Linked DNA regions of Arabidopsis thaliana. The protein of the gene in region 1 binds, or shares a complex with, the protein of each later gene. Each region holds a gene or a part of one and is shown in the gene's direction. Other genes may lie near its edges.

Region 1 (3,086 bases):
TGAGAAAGAAGTCTGTTGTTGTTGTGACCTTTGAAGATGGAGTTTCATGGCGTAGTTGCTAAGCTGATGAATGATATCCACAAACGAAAACGAAGGGAAAATCAGTAATCCGCTGATTTATAAGATTGATAATTCCGAGAATTTCTAGTAGGCAAGTTAGTTATACCTCTAGCTTATGAACTTGTTCTTGGTACTGCCCCACCACGCCTCTCAAATGCAGTACTTGTTTGGCCTTCTCTTCGTTTTCAGAGCTACGCTGATGTTGATTCGCAATGACCCGCTTCAATATTTGGTTATCATTGATCAAACTCTGTAGACTCTCCTTCATCGACGCATATTCAAGCTGCAATGAATTGGGAGCTCTCTATTTGTTATATTATCTAGGCCCAAGAAAACCTGAGCATTATCAATGTCATCAATTTATACCTTCTTCGAGGCGTTGGTGTTCTTCTTTATGATACTCTCTAAAGCTTCTAAGATCACTGCAACACGTCGCCTCATGTCATCAATGTTTATCGCTTTTGTCATCTCGGATACAAGTCTATCAACCCATTTAGCTCCATCGATCATATCCTCATCGTTCCAACTTTCCACAGATCCATCAAAAAAGCCAGCTTCTGTTCTATCAGAATCCCCATTGAACAAAATTGAGCTTAAACTCTCTTTTGCCTCTTCAAACACGTAATTCTTGTTGCTCATAACCTCTCTGACAAACTAATTCAAGATCCCACCAAAAAACAAAGACTACATTAGCAATAAACTCCCAAAGACTTTTGTAGCAAAACATAACAGCCAAGATCACCAATTTTCATAACACAAGTCACAAAGTAACAAAGACTAATGTTGCATCAAGTTTCTATGCAATCAATGGCTACACAAAACTGTCGCCAATTTTCAGTTTTTCACAACACAGAAGTAACAAAGGCTAATGTTGCATCAAAGTTTCTCTGCAATGCAGGGCTTTGGCTTTGGTTATCACAATGTTAATCTGTAGATGAAGACATATCAATCAATAGCTACACAAAACTGTTACCTAGTTCATTTCATGAAGGAACTACATCAATATAACTTAGCACTTTTTAAATGGAAGATTGATGAACTTAAAGTATATGAAAAGAGCAATTACTGTAGTAGCATTGTTCATCAGTCAAAAATGGAAACTTTACGACACAATATCTAACGAACCTCAGGATCCATGGTAGGGAACACATGGATCAAAGATGCAACCGGGTCATCGGATCCAGACCCGGTTTCAGATGAACGAATCGGCGATCCAAAGCTTGACCATTTGGTTCTCTTATTCGTCGGGGATGATGAAGAAGAAAGGAAGCGACAACGTCGAGCAATTGCAGTGAAGAAGAAAGGAAGAGACAACGACGAGCAATTAAACATATTGTAATATAATTATTAATATTATAGACTGTACAACAAAGTGGCTGTAGTTTAGTGGTAAGAATTCCACGTTGTGGCCGTGGAGACCTGGGCTCGAATCCCAGCAGCCACACTTTCTTTTTTCCTTTTTTGAGAAGTAAAACGACGTCGTTTACCATATTACCAAACGATTTGTTTTTGAGTCAACCACCTCTTTAACCAGAGTCATTCTTCAGTTCTTCTTCTTTTTCGATCTGCTTCGTAGAGTCGATAGAGGGAAGAATCAAAGAAGGAAGTCTGTATCTTTTGAGCTCTCCAAAGGTAAAAACACTCAGAGATTTGATTTGTTTTTTTCGGTCTTTACCTTGGATACGTCATTCTCAGATGGTAGCGAATTTGTAGATCTTAAGGCTTGAATCTATTTCATATGATCAATTACTTATAGATGTGATGATGATGCAACTCTTTCTTTATTTACTGCTATGAGATTCAATCAATTTTTTATTTTTATTTTTGTGTATTCCATGTTTTTGATGTTATACTCATGTCTGGATTTCGTCAAAGTTATTTTCTTTTAGTGATTTTGGTAAAGAAACTTGTTCCTGACGTATGAACCTAATTGTGTTGGACTATGTGCTCCATCTTCATAGAAAATGATGTTGAAAGTGTAGATTGGTGGGTGATTTTTAACAAGTTTTGTCTAAGTCTGATACCAAGCTTCTCATATTGTTAATTGTGTGTGGTGTTACAGATGTTTGACGACCAAGACCTCGGCTTCTTTGCCAATTTTCTGGGGATTTTCATCTTCATAATGGTCATTGCATACCATTTCGTGGTGGCAGAGCCTAAATTCGAATGAGAATGAGGTTTCATCTTTGTTAGTTTCTACAAAAAAAAAACTTATAAATGTGTTGGAATCAATATGTCTTTAGCATTCTATAGGTCGTGATGTTTCGCCAGTAGATGAGTAATCAATGTATTTTGACAATGTGGTTTTGGATGGATTAAGAGTTAAAAGACTTCATTTTTCGTAGTGTTTCAATCATTCAAGTTTTAGTATGCAAGTTTTCTGTTTAGAGCATATTGCATACATGGGCGAATATGGTATACCTGGATTTCCCAGTTCTTCAGGTCTTCTCTGTAGCTCTGTTACTTCTATCACAGTTATCGGGTATTTGAGAAAAAAGAGTTAGCTAAAATGAATTTCTCCATATAATCATGGTTTACTACAGGTTTACTTGATTCGCGTTAGCTTTATCTGCATCCAAAGTTTTTTCCATGATGTTATGTCATATGTGATACCGTTACTATGTTTATAACTTTATACAGTCTGGTTCACTGGAGTTTCTGTGATTATGTTGAGTACATACTCATTCATCCTTTGGTAACTCTCAAGTTTAGGTTGTTTGAATTGCCTCTGTTGTGATACTTATTGTCTATTGCATCAATCTTCTAATGCACCACCCTAGACTATTTGAACAAAGAGCTGTTTCATTCTTAAACCTCTGTGTCTCCTTGCTAAATGGTCATGCTTTAATGTCTTCACCTGTCTTTCTCTTCTATAGATATGTAGTCTTGCTAGATAGTTAGTTCTACAGCTCTCTTTTGTAGTCTTGTTAGAGAGTTAGTTGAGATATTACCTCTTAAAAGTATCCTTGAACGCTTTCCGGTTATGACCAATTTGTTGTAGCTCCTTGTAAGTAGAACTTACTGGG
Region 2 (3,290 bases), on another chromosome or scaffold:
TCGTTATCTAAGGAAAGATTCCAGATCTCTCCATCATCGGAAGTCGTGAAGTGATTTTCAGACCACATAATGTTGAAATTATCTTCAAACGATTGTGTCGGTGTTGCTGCGATAGAGGACGACGCCATTAGAGCCGTCATGAACAAGAACAGAGCCGTCATGGCAGAACAGCTCGTTATGATCCTCCTTTCCGTCTCCATTGGTTGTCTCTACTTCGAATATTTCGAAGAGAGAGAGAGAGAGAGGTAATGCAATCTACACTTGTTCCGTGAGTGAGAAGAGTATAGAGCTTTCTTGCTTTTATTATAAAGACCGGGGAAATGACTGTTTTGACCATTAATAATTCTTTTAATATGCTATTGCGTTTAGACTTTTGATACGGTTTTTTTTCTAAGATTTTCATGTAATAATGATGTTTACGATAATTTGTAAAAGAAAGCAAAAAGGGTAAATGAAAAAGTTTAATTAAAGAAAACTAACAGTAAAACTCAATGATTTTTATGTTAATCAAGTGTAAACTGTTTGGTTATAATACACACGGTTTAGCTAATTAAAAGCCGACCGGTTTATTCATTAAGTTGCTGAGATAGGTCATTTGAACCATATTGATGAGCTAGCAAGGGTACTATAGGAAATATAGAAAACAACAGCAGAACATGGAGAATTGGATCTCCAGGCTGCCACCAAGTGGAAGTGGGATCCATAGAAATGTTCATGTAAAAGCAAAACCAAAAACATTATTTAACTCTGTACTTTAATTCTTTGGTTAATCTTCACTTAGTAAATCTGATATGGGAATATGTCTAACAAAACCCAAATAATATAGGCGAACATGCTTCGGAACATAATATTTTGTTCAACAAAAGAAAGAGTTTGCCTTGCCTCTCTCATATTTTGTTAGCCCAAGACAAGGCACGTGAAACAAGCACGTTATGAATAAGAAAGCAGGGAAATAATACACCTGGAGTTACTAAATTATTAGGTTGACAAAGATTAGTTTATTGGATTGTCTCTTGCATAATCCGGTATTCTTACATTTTTACATAATTACTATTTTTTGTATGGATATGAATGTTTCAGATCTAAGATTGTAGACTGAGGTTTATATAATACCACAAGTATATGCAACTCGACCTTGTTACTTTAGACTATAATAGAGTAGTATTAAGATTATGATAATGACAAAAATGATTTCTTATACATTAATAATACCATTTAAATGATTTACGAGCGATGAAATAAATATGCATGGTCTAGTTTTATGTAAACTCTCTAATCCATGTATGAGTCTCTCTTTTTTGTATTACTAAGTGGTTTCTCATATGTTTCCTGTAAAAGAATCTCAACTTGTCGGCATGTCGGTCCTAATAAGAGAAACCAGAAGTGATCATCAATTTTATTGTTAATTATAGAATGTTTAAGTTTCACATATCATACAACAAGACAGTTTGGCCGAGTGGTCTAAGGCGCCAGATTTAGGCTCTGGTCCGAAAGGGCGTGGGTTCAAATCCCACAGCTGTCAATTTCTTTTCCTTTTTTTCCCTTCTTTAAAACTAAACCCTCTAACTCATCAAGAAGGTTCAATCAAACCTATAAACACCTAGAATTTTGAACAGTTCTTCACTTCTCCAGTATTTCCCGGCAATTCCAGATCTCTCTATCTCCTTTCTTCTTCAAATCCAATCAGAGAGTGATCTAAAAATGGTGATTCAAACGAATCTCTCATATCGTTTCTTCATCTTAATTGTGTTTTTATTTACCCTAGCGAATCCAAAATCAGATTCAGATCTCAAAAACGAACTAGTCTCCCTCCGATCAACCGCCGAATCAGGCGTGATCTCCTTCAACAACGACGACGTTTCCAAATTCATAACCTCCGTATCCACTCCTAGACCTTACTCACTCATCATCTTCTTCGACGCCGTTCATCTCCACGGCAATAGCCAGCTACGTCTTCCAGAGTTCCGCCGCGAATTCAGACTCGTCTCCGCCACTTTCATCACCAACAACAACAATGAATCTAACGGCACAAAGCTCTTCTTCTGCGAGATCGAATCAACTCACTCCGAGGCTTCTTTCCGCCGCTTCGCCGTCGAGTCACTACCACACATTTCCCTCGTTAGCCCCACGACAGAGAATTTAACAGAATCAGATCAAATGGACGGTGGAGATTTCACTGGATTAGCCGAATCAATGGCAGAGTTCGTCGAACGTCAAACAAAACTCACCGTTTGTTCAATCCAACGACCACCACTCATATCAAAGACACAAATCGGAATCATCGTTGCTATAATCATAATCTCGACTCCGATTCTCATCAAGAAGATTCTAAAAGGAGAAACACTTCTCCATGACCATAGAATCTGGTTAGTTGGCGCGGTTTTCGTCTACTTCTTCAGCGTCTCGGGGACAATGCATAACATCATTAGAGAAATGCCAATGTATATCAAAGATTATGAAGATTCAAGTAAGTTTGTTTTCTTTATAGAAGAATCAGAGATGCAGCTTGGAGCAGAAGGTTTCTTTGTAGGGTTTTTGTATACTGTTGTTGGATTGCTTTTGGCGTTTGTTACTAATGTAGTTGTACGAGTCAAGAAACTCGATGAGCAAAGGATGGCTATGCTTTTGGCTCTGTCTATATCGTTTTGGGCTGTGAGGAAAGTTGTTTACTTGGATAATTGGAAGACTGGTTATGAAATTTACCCATATTGGCCATCGAGTTGGCGGGGATGAGTGATCTTCACGTAAGGTTAGTTTTTCAAGATTGTGGAACTGATTAGTTAGTGTTTTGGCTTTCAATACTTGAACATGCATATAGCCAAGTTTATAGTTTAAAGATTCAATAATTGCAGTTTAGGATTCACGAATTTGTGCTAACTAGAGGAATGATTGCTCGAAGACTTATAATGCTTATGGTGTTGCTTTGCATCCATTGAGAAAGAGTACTCTACCAAATAATCGTTGCTTTACTATGTGTGAAGGTTTGGAAAAAGATTGTATGCAATACTTGACCCACAAGAAACCTTCTTAAAAGTGAAAAGATTCTCTCTTTGTTCTTTTCTTCCAGCTTTGTTTAAAGTTAAGCATCTAATTCCTTCACACCCTAGAATTTAATTACTTAAGAGAGCTCATGTTAATATTACTACTGTTTGGTTTTGCTAAGAAAATCAATTTTATTTTGGAAATTTTGACTATGGCAGAGACAAATAAAGGAATTGAAGAAGAAGTGGCAAGTGCTTTTGTGAATCACTACTACCATCTCTTTGACAACGATCGATCATCGCTTTCTT

What was found.
Region 2: AT5G02502 (region 1) and AT1G11560 share a complex: the UniProt entries of both Arabidopsis thaliana proteins name them as parts of the oligosaccharyltransferase (OST) complex.

The regions. Positions count from the first base shown.
Region 1 is NC_003076.8:557,748-560,833, reverse strand, and holds AT5G02502 (Oligosaccaryltransferase), read left to right. Parts: upstream 1-1,598; 5' UTR 1,599-1,692; intron 1,693-2,122; coding exon 2,123-2,230; 3' UTR 2,231-2,549; downstream 2,550-3,086. Other genes in the region: AT5G02510 (UDP-glucose 6-dehydrogenase), read right to left, coding at 1-63, 167-343, 427-714, 1,186-1,392. UniProt on the Arabidopsis thaliana protein: Subunit of the oligosaccharyl transferase (OST) complex that catalyzes the initial transfer of a defined glycan (Glc(3)Man(9)GlcNAc(2) in eukaryotes) from the lipid carrier dolichol-pyrophosphate to an asparagine residue within an Asn-X-Ser/Thr consensus motif in nascent polypeptide chains, the first step in protein N-glycosylation.
Region 2 is NC_003070.9:3,880,087-3,883,376, forward strand, and holds AT1G11560 (Oligosaccharyltransferase complex/magnesium transporter family protein), read left to right. Parts: upstream 1-1,540; 5' UTR 1,541-1,701; coding exon 1,702-2,733; downstream 2,734-3,290. Other genes in the region: XTH8 (xyloglucan endotransglucosylase/hydrolase 8), read right to left, coding at 1-200; NTL (NTF2-like protein), read left to right, coding at 3,131-3,290. UniProt on the Arabidopsis thaliana protein: Subunit of the oligosaccharyl transferase (OST) complex that catalyzes the initial transfer of a defined glycan (Glc(3)Man(9)GlcNAc(2) in eukaryotes) from the lipid carrier dolichol-pyrophosphate to an asparagine residue within an Asn-X-Ser/Thr consensus motif in nascent polypeptide chains, the first step in protein N-glycosylation.